Linked DNA regions of Daphnia pulex. The protein of the gene in region 3 purifies or fractionates together with the protein of the main gene of each other region. This does not show direct contact. Links are inferred from orthologs where the notes say so. Each region holds a gene or a part of one and is shown on either strand. Other genes may lie near its edges.

Region 1 (4,024 bases), on a different chromosome or scaffold from region 3:
ACAGTTTCGCAGACGACATCCACAAAGCAAGGAAAAAAATCTCCTAGCGCAGTAATGTGTCGGTAGAAGAGATCCTGCTGCGTCAATTTGTCATTTGTCAGTTCGACTGCTCTTTCTTGAAGGACCCGTCGGATGGAAGCATCAATAAGTGTTGAACCAGGCGTATGAAGGGCTCGTAGGGCCAAGGATGCACGCAATTTCTCGGCATGTTCCATCAAAACAAATGCACTAGATTTAGCACCGCGACGGTCACCAATGGCTGTCAAGTCGCCCCAAATTGACATGTTCCTGAATAATTTTTGAAAACGTGAACAGAATGTTAATGAATAAAGACTAGTATATAGTGTGACGTACCGAAGGAAAGTAAGGAACAGGTCGTGAGCCTTGACTTTATCTTCCAACTGATGCAGGACTAATAAGGAGACGGTGGTGAACGTTGACTCGTGGCCAGCTGGAACTGAATCTGTCCAACGAGGATCTGTGGCTGGATAGTCGTCGATGATTTGTTGACTGAAATCAACCACCATTCTATCCATGAGCGAATCTATTTGGCCTTTACTGGTTGGAGAGGCAAATAATTCTTCTAGAAGCGACTGTGTTTCATAAATATTTTTGCGACAGAAATTGATGAAAGCCAATCTCAATTTTGATGAGGTAGATTCATTCTGCAAGTAAAATGAAATGCTGTAATTCACCTTGAAAAACACTGATAAACTTTTCAACATACCTGGGCGGGATCAAGGTTTTCGGCCATAATCTGGGAATGTTCCATAATGGATTCATCAATAAAAGATTGGCTGTCATTCGGTCCACCGATTGAAGGTTGTAAAATCAAAACACCGTGACGGGTAGAGAAGAAAACGGGTCGCTGATTAAAGACTCCTGCACCTAGGAAACGTTCATTGGCAGCCTTGACTTCAAGCTTGTCGGGTTCTTCTAGTGGCTCGTTGGACGGTACACACAGGATCCATTTATCAGAGTACAAGTAGGCCGTCGATCCCACGAGAACAAAGCGACACTGGGGAGGGGACGATTCCTGTAAAGATGAATCTGATCGCTCAGCCATGGCTGTGGCATACTTGAGGACACAAAAGGAGGAAAAACCAGTAGGTGGCGAGCTACTTTGCATTGGCAGAGCGGCCAAGGCGTATTGGATTTGGGAACTCAGGTTGGGATTGGAGGCGGCGATCAGCAAGATTAAGTCGTTTTTGTAAACTTGGGCATCAAGAATCCAGACTCTCAATTTGTGGATGCTGTTGCGGTCACTTCGGCTCCAGACGTGCGCAATAAGAGACTCCCTAGCCCATTTGTCAATATCACACTGATATAATAGCCGCTCTGTTTCACCAACCTAGACACAAAACAAGTTTAGTGGGTTATCTTGCAGATTTTTATGTAGATTTACCTGCCAATACTGCAAAGTTTGACTGCAAAGGATTTGAACTTCCAAAGTGTGACTATCTTTTTTCTGGCTCAATAGTTTGACTAGCCGTGTCTCCATCGACTGATGTGTTGAAATGGGTCCAAATATCAACGACGACATTCTACGGCTAATGGAACCTAATAGTCCCTGCGGTGTCTTGAAATTCCGGCACTGTATGTTGGGACTGCCATCAGTCAGGCGAGGTGTCAACAGCAGGACACTGGCAGTTGTTGTGGCTACCAAACAGCCCAGAGGCATAGCTTCACTCAGAGTATCACATTCTTGACCCTGTTAATTTCAATACTGCAATTACTTGTTGTTCGATAAGAATTTTAATCTGAAATTTTACCTGAAGATCAGCATTGATTTCAACAAAAAAGTTTTCGTGAGCAATGGAATCCCAGTAACGGACAGTTCCTTCTGGTGACACAGCAATGCACGATGGGACACTGTCAGCTTCTGAGCAGAAAACCGCCACAAGATCTGATTTGTGTGCTAGATCACTTGGAGGTAAGGTCAACTCATGAGACTTTGGGGAAGAAACAGCAATTGATTTCCTTGAAGGTGTTGATACTGTGTTGGCACCAGCCGCCTTGGAGTACTTCCATATGACAAGTTGCCGTCCACACACAAACCAGGCCCAGCCATCTTTAGACAGTGTAACACTGCATTCCGCTTTCCCTGAAAGCGAACATGAAATTTAATTTGGTCGAGTAGGGTCACATATTTATCAACTTACTTTCTGCCGAGGAAATGAGTTCAATTACAGCTACGGGTAAAGCTGTCCCATAATTTTCTAAGGCATAATTTGACGATTCAGCCAAATTACGAGATGATGCATTCAACGAACGTGAACTGACATTCAATGAACTGAAAGAAAGAAAATGGGATCTTAGCATGTTTGATCAACTTAACACAACTTGTTTAACACATACTTTCTCCGCCCGGCTTTCAGCAAATTTTTTCTATCCATTTGTTCGGTATTTATTCAGTTCCTTCACTTTTTAGAGACTTGAGATATTTTGAAAAAATTGTCGTCTGGCACGTTTAAAAATAAAATCTGACGGTGCTAATGGCGGCGCAATGTTGCCGTGCCTCATACAACTCAATTTCTTTTACTTTTCTTCTCTTATTTTTTTAATGATGTGTTTTGCATACATGAATTTGGATTTTAAAATCATATTAAATACTAAAGTATCATTTCAGATTAAATTTAGCACAATAATTCAAGAAAACTGATTGGTGAAATTGGTGAAAATGTTTTTCATTTGACACAGCGATGCATGTAAATTGAACATTAAAGTTAAACCTACTTTAATTGATTCATGTGTTACTTGATTGAATTGCGTAATTGATCTGATAAAGTAAACGAGGATCTATTTAACGGGCGGATGGATACATCAAGGAAGTCGATTACTAGTGGCGCCTCTGGTGAGCAGAATGGTCGAGCACGAGCCGAATCGTCCGATCCGAGTCAGTTGCAGTCGAGAGTCGAGTCACGACCGTCCCACCTACCCCGGCCAACGTGAACCGGTGCGGGACAAAAACAACAGGAAAGAACGAGAACGAAAGTGGTGGTGGGGGCAAACCAAGTCTTGGAAATTACTTTCAAGCCATTTTTATCTTTTGGTTTCTCAAATTCCCAAAAAGTTGAACGCAAATCTCGCCACGCTCGATGCAACAACCATCTTTTCACAACGGGCCTTGTTGGAAAACTTGAAGAGGATTACCTTTTTTTCTATTACCTCGTGGTTTTTAGTGTGTTGTGAGTGAGTTTTTAAATCATCTACAACCGTCTAGATACAATCAACGTCATCGGTGAGTGAACGATTATATTTTATCTCCATCTTCTTCCACGTTTTTTCCCCACCCATTTGAAATGAAAAGATTAGTGAGATAGGACTAACTTATTAAGAGTTGGATACAATTGCGGTCGAGCCAGGAGCTAGGGCATGCTATATATTCCCAAACGGGACGATAGCACAAACATCACGAAACCAGTGTTGTTGGGCTGTATACGTGCGTGTGTGTGATGTGTACAGTTCTAGATTTATCCGCCTTTCCTTTTAGATATATTGACGAATTCCGGATTATATAGGCTACAACGTGACGAATAATTAAAATATTTCTCGATCGTTGTGTATGTATATTAAAACGGGATGTAGCTCAAACAACGTGCTGGGGGGAAATGAAACAAAACTTTTTTGATATCCCTCCCCGGAAGTTTCAGATAGATTTTCCTTCCGGTACCTGCGAGTGTGTGTGTACATGTGTTATTCTCTAGCACACAAGAATAAGAAGTGAAAGAGGTGATAATATTAGTTTCCCCTCCAAGTGCTTATTTTCCTTTCAAATTGAAGAAACAAAAACAACTAAAAATTTTCTTGTTTTTTAAAAGCTTTTTTTTTCCCTTTTAAAATGGACGTGCTCACTATGATTACCGCACAGCTGCATTCCTCCACTCACGACACGAACGTTTTTTTTCTCTTTTTTAGAGGGTGATGTTTATCGAAATAGACTGGAGAGGGGGGGGGGGAAATCAGGGAGGAGTTATTTCCAAAAGTAGAAGGAGGGAAGAAAAAATATTCATCAAATCGATAA
Region 2 (3,971 bases), on a different chromosome or scaffold from region 3:
GGGATGCAAGTTTGTCGCAACAACTGTTGTTGCTGTTGTCGGGGAGAATTTTCCTCCTCGAAGGACATGCTATCAACCATCCAGCCTCCGTCAGGAAAAAGTAGGACGTTATACAGTTTGTCAATAGCTGATTGCGTGAGGGAATCGACGGCTGCCTGCCAGCGTTGAATTTCAACTTGATGTTGCTTAAGATGCTGTTCTTTGAGTAAGTTTTCAGTGAATGATAGTTGAGAACTGGCTCCTCCTCGCTGTTGTTGAACGGTAGCTTCTGTTTTCTTGGGCTTGGAGTGATGGAAACGTGTGAACCATTCTTGAAAGGCGTCTAGTGCATCAATGTAAGTCTGGATGCAAAGGTATTCACGGACAGCAGCCTCGACTTCAGTGGGCAAATCCGTCAATCCAGTTCGTGATTCCCATAGTTCGGTCAATATGGCGACTGTGTCGGGTGGAGTCAACTGGAACGTCAGCTTCACAGCTTCAATCTGACGACGGAGAAGGTATCCCCGCATGAGAGTGTTGGCTTGGATAAGCAATTGACTTCGCATTGACGGATCCATTAACAACCAGCTCAGTGAACGTATCCGGCGTTCATCTTCTGCCGTGGTCGCTACCTAAAAGTATTAAACAATTATGAGTACGCTATGCACGAATGCAGATCGAAATCTATATTAATCACCTGTAGAGAAGCATCAGTGACGTGTTGGACCATTCCGCCCTGGTCGCAAAGTTTGATTACAACTTGTTTGGCGATAGCGTTGACATCAAGTCCGACATCCTGGGCCAAAGATAGGAGGCGCCTTCGCTCCTCGTCGTCACAGGATTCTTCCTGTTCCTCTACCATAACGAGGCATTGAGCATACAGGCGAATTTGATCTTCTGGCAAAGGCAATTGTCCAACATAGACAGCCGCCAAATCAGTTCGTCCAAGATTGACAAGTTGTAGAACGTAAGCTTCCAGGATGGATCCGATGGAATCGTCACATGAGCCACGACCGATGCGCCGGAAGAACAGAGCAAGATGGGACATTAGCCGGATCATGTGAGGGCGTAGGTGAACGCTCCAGCTGTCACCTTGTTTCAGCCAAGACGACATTTCTTCAAGTAATCCGTCAACATCATCCATAATAAGGTAGCGCTGTATGATCCTGCATTTCAAAATTTGCTTTGGTAAATTTCGCATTAGACAAATTAAAGAATTAGTCACCTATATTGGTCACGGCCTTGGGCGATCAAAGTCTTATCTCTGGAGGCAGCTAAAGTTGAGAAAATGGACTCGACGGTCAACTGTTGATTCCAATATTCGTCTGGTAGAATTTGAAGTTGCCGTTTATAATTGACACAGCGACGAAGTTCCTTCTCGACACAGTGGTCGATCATGGCACGCAGATGAGCCCACAGTTGATCTTCCCAGGAACGACAGGCAGGTAAAAGGGCTTTCAAATGTCCACAAAGAAGAGCAAAGATTGCGCGCTCTTCCTCCGACAACTGCACATTTTCGCACTCTTTCCAAGTCATCGTCTTCCATATGTCACGATAAGGATTTCCAGATGGCGACTCTACAGTTGAGATAAATATTTTTATCGAATCCATTGGTTTCTACAAATCTGGAAATTACCTTTCGTGTTGGCTACATCCGTGCGAGATTTCATGTTGGGATCATGAAACAGTTTCCATCCTTCCAAAATTGCAGCCCGAAATGGTTGACCTGCTCGGAAACAGAGCTGCTGGGCTTCATCCAGCTGTCCACAACGGAGTCGAGCAAATACAGAACGAAGCAAACGCATTTCATCTTCTTTGTCAAGTGGGTGAAGACGTCTGTTTTGTTCTCGGTTAGGAGCATCGGGATCCATTTGAGTAACCATATTTTGCTCGACGTTATCTGTACTAAGCCCTCGTTTTTTACTGACCAAAGAATGAAGAGTATTTTCCCAGCCGGCAACCGCATCTCCGTAAAACTCCACCTAATTAGAGTATAATATATTATTTAATAAAAGAAAATTTTAATTACATTAAAAAATACCTGGCTGTAATGGGAATCGTGATAGACATCAGCCGCTCGTTGTTCCAGCCAATCGACTACGAGCTGAGCCTGTCTGATTATGGCATTTTTGTCATAGAGTTGTTTTACCAAGTCATCTTCACTTGTAACATCATCCAATCCACTCCAGATTTCATCAGACTCCATTTCACTGTCATGAAATTCAGAGTTTAAACGATCTTGGTAGAGAGATGCAACCAATCTCCATGTGTCACGCTCAAGTCTCAGTTCTTGCTCCAATTCTTGTGCTTGTGATAGTTTGTTGTGTCCACGAGGGGCCATTTGAATCAATTTTCGCAAAGCAGATACTTGTTCTCCACATTCTGACTCATATTCTGCACACTGATTAAACACTTGATGTTCTGCCCCATATGACTGAAATGTTTTGAGGAATCTCTCAAATAGTTCTAAGACATTTTCTACTCCTGGAACTTCTTCTTCTAGAAGGATGCTCATGAGTTCTTCATTTCGTTTCTTTCGTGATACATTGCTCACTGTTAAGTCTGCTCTTGTCGAATCCAGATTTTTCCTTTGTAAACCAGCACCAATTCTCGTAAATGTAGGATCACTTTCGAAAATAGTGTGGCTAAGATCATCAGACATAAAAGACATTGTATTATGTCGGTTAGGAGAAGGGAGGCAACTGGCCCCCAACATGTCTGATGTCTTTTCGAGTGAGTGCTTTATTCTTCGACCAGGAAGATTTAGTTTGCCAGTAACAGTTGAGTTAGAACCGGCAATAATTGGAGATTGAAACTCCATTGTGCTTATTTTAAAAAGATACAATAAAATTCACTGTCTTATAAAGAAGAAGTTTGAAGGTTTGAAGTTTTCCGTTTTTCGTTTTATTGTAACGTAGCAGACTAAGTAAAAGGGCGTTGCAATTCACGTTCAAAGTTTTATTCATTAAAATAATTATAATTAATTGAAATTGAAATAGTAATGATTTGATTTTTATAATTGTTATAATATTTAATACAATTTTATTCTATTTTTTAACTCAATTTTTAAGATTTTATTTCAAACAATTTGAATGTTCACTTCACTTCCTTCCTACCCCTTCCTAGCAGACAAACTTAAGTTTGTTTTTGACTTTTTGACACGTGTGAAAAATTGTCTTTAAAAATCATGGCGAATTTCAATACTAAACGGCCTATGGAAGAAGATAGCAGCGATTCTTCAGAGGAAGAAGAAGAAGAAAATGATTCTCAAGATGAAGAAATGGGTGAAGATGAGCAACTTGGAGAGAACGACCGAGAGATTCAAGTCGACTTTGAAGGTCAATCACCAATCGCTGAAGATTTTCACGGTATCAAGAGTCTAATGCATCAGCTTTTCCTAAAGGCTCATATTAATTTAAGTGGTCTGACGGAACTCATCATTCAGCAAAACTACATTGGAAGTATATTACAGGTAATAAAATCTTGTGAAGATGTAATTTGTGTACTTTACTAAAGATATCTACTTCTTCAGCAATGTGTGGATAATGATGAACCTGATAGTGATGATGAAGGAAATTCTCTTGATGAAGTTTTTGGAATTACTTCTGTAATTAACTTGACACATCACAAGGTGAGATAAAATTTTGAATTTGTGTTACACAAATTACAATTAACCCAATTTTTTTTGTTATTTACTTTTCCTAGGATGTGGAATGTATTAAAGAAGTAAAAAAGTACCTGTTGGAAAAAACACAGAAGAAACTGAGTGGATTGTTTGATGATCCATCTAACCAGATAGGACTTATATTCAATGAAAGGTTCATAAACATACCACCTCAAGTTTCTGTTCCCCTACTGGAAAATCTATGGTATACAAGACTTAATTTGAATTATATCCCAAGTTTAAATGTAAAATTTTGTTAATAGTAAGGAGATTGATGAAGCAAAAAAATCTGGAAAGCCTTTTGACTTTACACACTTCATTTTAATTT
Region 3 (4,251 bases):
GAACTAGAGTAGCTTTGAGTCAGCTCGGCGAGTTTAATGAGTTGTTTTTCACCTAGTGGACTGTTATGCTTTGAAAGAAGTTGCGTTAACAGCAGAACTCTTGCAGAGGCATCCGGTAAACGGACATAGAGTCTTTTGGGGAAACGTCTTGAGTGAAACAAACGAACGTTCATAGGATTTCGTGATTGCTTGCAATACAAATTTTTAAGCGAAATTGGCTTTAATATTTAATACCTAAGGACAGCTTCGTCTAACTCCTGTGGTCGATTAGTTGCTCCCATAACCAAGATTTTTTCTTCGTGCGAGGCATGAAGTCCATCAAATTGACAAAGGAATTCTGTTTTAAGTCTTCGGCTCGCTTCATGTTCTCCTTCCCTACGTTCACAAAGCAGTGAATCGATTTCATCGACAAAAATGATAGACGGCTGTAAAAAAAGTTGAAGAAAATTTCATTTATATATTTCTCGAAGGCACTTTTTTCTTTGTGATTTTTTTTTAGATTACCAAGATAAATAATCTCGGCAAAAACAATAAAGAATTTTTGTGAGTTATTTCTCCTAGAACATGTCACAATACCTGTAATTCTCGAGCAACACCAAATAGAGCCCGCACAAGTTTTTCGCCTTCTCCGACATATTTAGATGTCAAAGACGAAGCGGATATATTAAAAAATTTGGCAGATGATTCACTAGCGACAGCGCGAGCCAGCAGCGTTTTACCATTACCTATTTAAAAATACCAGTAAACCGTTAAAAAAAAGGGGGGGGGGAAGGCTGGTGAATAAATTAATTGTATGTACCAGGGGGACCAAAAAGGAGAAGTCCTCGAGCAGGTGAGCGAAGTCCTGTAAAGAGTTCAGGTCTTAGGGAAGGAAGAATCACAATCTCTTGTAGAGCTTGCTTGGCTTGCTACAGAATTGATAAATAAAAAAAAAAAAAAAAAAAACAAAAAACAGAAAAGAATAAAATATCTACTGTAAGTTCACTTAATGCTAAACGATATGTTTCTACCTCCAAACCTGCAATGTCATCAAAAGAAACTCCAGCACCACCGTCGACAATTTCATCCAGAATTAAAGATGCTAACTTTGATTCAACACCTTTGATACCAGATGCTTTTAAGGTCGGCTTGCCTACGGATGAGGACGGGGCTTTATTCGGTGTAGTACTCTATTCAGGAATCCCAGAATTGTGTAAACAAACTATGGTTGTAAGTAAGTACCACTAGGTAATTACAGAAATAGGTGTGGGGCGACGGTTAGCTGCGGCAACCGGCAACCTAACAGGAGTTGTTTTGGCGGTAACGGAAGTGGTGGCATTCGATCTGGTGACTGAAAAAAAAAAAAACAAAAAAAAATCATTATACTGAGAAAATAATAGAAAGAAATTATTAATTTTGCCTGGTTTTACCTGTTCCTTTTGCATTCGGACTGCCCTTATTGTTGGTTACTTGAGCAACAGGAGTGATATTGGATTTTAAAGTACCAGTTCTACGAATTGGAGTTACGACATTCTTTCGGGTCGTAGTCGCTTTAATAATCGCAGAAAAATGATGAAAAGGATAGTAGCAATCAATTAATCGATATAGAGTAAATTGATTATTTTAAACAATACAAGTATCAAATAAATACCAGATCGTGCTACGGCAATACCGGAAGGACGTGAGGTCGGCAAGGCTCTTGATTGGTCAGAAACTTTGCGATTGCTTTCTTCAGTATTTCCGCGAGCAGGTACAAATTCAAAAGGTAAAACTTCGTCCTCCGGATCACACAAAGGTAAGTGCTGTAAGTCACTCATGCCACCTAAACAAAAAAAAATAGAAAAAGTTAAGAAAATGTAATTTTCAAGTTTAAATCATTTGTAGTGAAAATAATCAAGAAAATGAATAAATTACTTTGCCAGAGTAATTAAAAAATTGCTTACTTAAAAAATGTAGGCGATCTCTCGCCATTTCCAAATTGGTTCTCATCTTCATTTGTAATCTAGTGTTGGTAAAATTTAAATAACAAAAAAGAACATGAGTAAGAATTCAAACAAACACGAAGTTATAAAAATAAGCCCATGTAAATTGAGGCTGCTTAAACTTAGACATTCATGAATCTTGGTGTAAAATGTTACACAAAAAAATAAATAAAAATAAACTGAACTACTAAAGGTAATAGCTACAAGTTCCTTGAATATTTGAATAAAAATTTTATAGGCATAGCTTTGGGACAATACATGTGCAATCATACAACCTTGATTTCTTTATTTATGGGTACAACAACTTGGCTTACCTCTTGGCACTTTCATATGCTTCTCCTATTCCTTTTATTTCAATGCTGATTCCAGATTCCAATTCTTTTATACCTTCAGAATATAATTCGATTGCTACAGCCTTATCTTCTTTATGTGCATAACAGAAGGGCCCACAAAGCAAGTTAATATTATAAATACATTTATAAATGAGAATGATGAATCATGTGATTTGATTTCAGAAAAATATATATACATATAGATTCGCTGGGTTACCATTAAAATTTCGTTCGTCAAGTTCCAGGGCTCGCGAGATTAATTCGAATGCTTTTATATGGCACTGTTTTTGCCTATTGACGATATCACTTGAGGAACCTTTACCACCTGAGTTCCACATTTTAAATAGGGTGTACTAATACTAAATGGTTGAAGCCTGAAGGAGGAAGTGTCGTGGAAAGTTTTGAGATATCAAAAATATCAGGTGTATATGTCGTTACTCGTCACGTCAGCTTCGTCAACAAGAATCAGACAGACATTGACATTCACTTTGAGCTGAGGCAACAAAGCCAAATTTCAACAAAGGCAAACAAAATTTACGAAAATCAATCATACTTCATACAATGATACAAAAATGGCAAAAGTAATAATATTAGAAAAATAGCAATTAAGTATGATTTACACGTTATTTAAATGTTTTTATTTTTTAAATATTTTTTTACTCTTTGGATCAGAGCTATAGAATACTGCGGACTGTGGTACCGCCACTGCCATGTTAACTCCTCTCGGAAATTTTCTCTAGATTGAAGCCAACTTTAGCAATCGATAGTGAAAATCGGAGCTAAGATATCGATCTCGACCCTTACCACTCCTCCAATTTTCCCTCTATTCCTATACCATTCCTATACCCTATTTCCCCACACACCCGCCGTGGCGCTTATAGCTACGGGACAGGGCAGGCAATAAGCAGGCTTCACTTCCAGAGAAAAAAAGCAATGGAAGGGCTCGCCATATAAGTGGCGGTACCAGTAGGCTATTCTATAGCTCTGCTTTGGATGGTTATGGCAGGTTAATAGGTTATGGAGAGCATGGACTACTCTAATTAAGGACGGGACTCTTCGGCGTTTCCTATGTCGGCAATGTACATTTTTTTGTGGGAGAAGTAGAATCAGAATTAAAAAATTACCATATAATTACCATATGTTCCTATACCTAACATTTATTTTTATAGAGATATTTCCAATTCCTTAACGGAAAATTTGAAATAGGGCAAAACACCGGTGCCATCTAGGAACCAAACCTCCTAAGCTCTTGTTAGTTTGCAAGCAGATGCCCATGCATGCATAACGAGAGAAAGAGAGACCACTCTATTATCTCTAGTCCTACATAGCTGCCTAACTATCTTTTACCTTGTAGCGTATATTCTTAAGAGCTTAGGATGTTTGGTTGCTAGATGGCACCGGTGTTTTGTCCTTTTATCCCTACTCCTGAAAATAAATTTCTAATATCTTAAGGATTAGTTTATTTCGCTAAGATTTATATCCATAGTTGGAATCAGCGAAAAAAACTGAATTTAATGATATTTTTTATTAATGTTTTCATGAAAATACCCCACCCGACTAGCTATAACAAGGCAGGATAGCGAAGATTCCCGTCCTTAATTAGAGTAGTCCATGTGGAGAGATGTTTTCCAATCTTCATGTTAAATATCCCCCAAGGAATGTCGTTTATGACGTGCCGTTTGGCTCACTACCCCTGGCTGACTTTGAAATACCGTGGCGCCACCTAGTGAGCGTATCTGCAACTACCGGTCTGGGGATGCTCCTACACCAGCCACCATGTAGTGTAGTGTATGGCGTAGTATAGTGTGGTGTAGTGTAGGGAAACCGTTTTTAATTTTTATTTTCTGACTCCTGATATAGTGTAGGGTAGTATAGTATACTATAGTGAAAACGGGTCTTTCTACAAATTTGTCCCCATGTATGGAAAAAACATTATTTACAAAAAATTACGGGAACAT

What was found. The genes of interacting proteins can lie anywhere in the genome.
Region 1: the proteins of spastin-like (region 3) and nuclear pore complex protein Nup133-like purify together in Homo sapiens (affinity purification with mass spectrometry; 3 studies listed by BioGRID and IntAct, counting the BioPlex papers as one, with this or other methods). This does not show direct contact. The link is inferred for Daphnia pulex from reciprocal best matches to the Homo sapiens genes SPAST and NUP133.
Region 2: the proteins of spastin-like (region 3) and nuclear pore complex protein Nup107-like purify together in Homo sapiens (affinity purification with mass spectrometry; 3 studies listed by BioGRID and IntAct, counting the BioPlex papers as one, with this or other methods). This does not show direct contact. The link is inferred for Daphnia pulex from reciprocal best matches to the Homo sapiens genes SPAST and NUP107.

Annotation. Positions count from the first base shown.
Region 1 is NC_060023.1:10,064,513-10,068,536, reverse strand, and holds the start of nuclear pore complex protein Nup133-like, read right to left. Parts: upstream 2,801-4,024; 5' UTR 2,397-2,800; coding exon 2,359-2,396; intron 2,294-2,358; coding exon 2,163-2,293; intron 2,105-2,162; coding exon 1,773-2,104; intron 1,712-1,772; coding exon 1,406-1,711; intron 1,352-1,405; coding exon 728-1,351; intron 666-727; coding exon 355-665; intron 289-354; coding exon 1-288. UniProt on the Homo sapiens protein: Involved in poly(A)+ RNA transport. Involved in nephrogenesis.
Region 2 is NC_060019.1:10,133,856-10,137,826, forward strand, and holds the start of nuclear pore complex protein Nup107-like, read right to left. Parts: upstream 2,801-3,971; coding exon 2,021-2,800; intron 1,962-2,020; coding exon 1,616-1,961; intron 1,557-1,615; coding exon 1,205-1,556; intron 1,146-1,204; coding exon 677-1,145; intron 612-676; coding exon 1-611. Other genes in the region: protein BCCIP homolog, read left to right, coding at 3,167-3,451, 3,512-3,610, 3,685-3,848, 3,907-3,971. UniProt on the Homo sapiens protein: Plays a role in the nuclear pore complex (NPC) assembly and/or maintenance. Required for the assembly of peripheral proteins into the NPC. May anchor NUP62 to the NPC. Involved in nephrogenesis.
Region 3 is NC_060020.1:8,501,072-8,505,322, forward strand, and holds the start of spastin-like, read right to left. Parts: upstream 2,805-4,251; 5' UTR 2,632-2,804; coding exon 2,511-2,631; intron 2,385-2,510; coding exon 2,276-2,384; intron 1,982-2,275; coding exon 1,923-1,981; intron 1,802-1,922; coding exon 1,631-1,801; intron 1,530-1,630; coding exon 1,410-1,529; intron 1,331-1,409; coding exon 1,236-1,330; intron 1,170-1,235; coding exon 1,011-1,169; intron 909-1,010; coding exon 800-908; intron 726-799; coding exon 577-725; intron 426-576; coding exon 235-425; intron 148-234; coding exon 1-147. UniProt on the Homo sapiens protein: ATP-dependent microtubule severing protein that specifically recognizes and cuts microtubules that are polyglutamylated.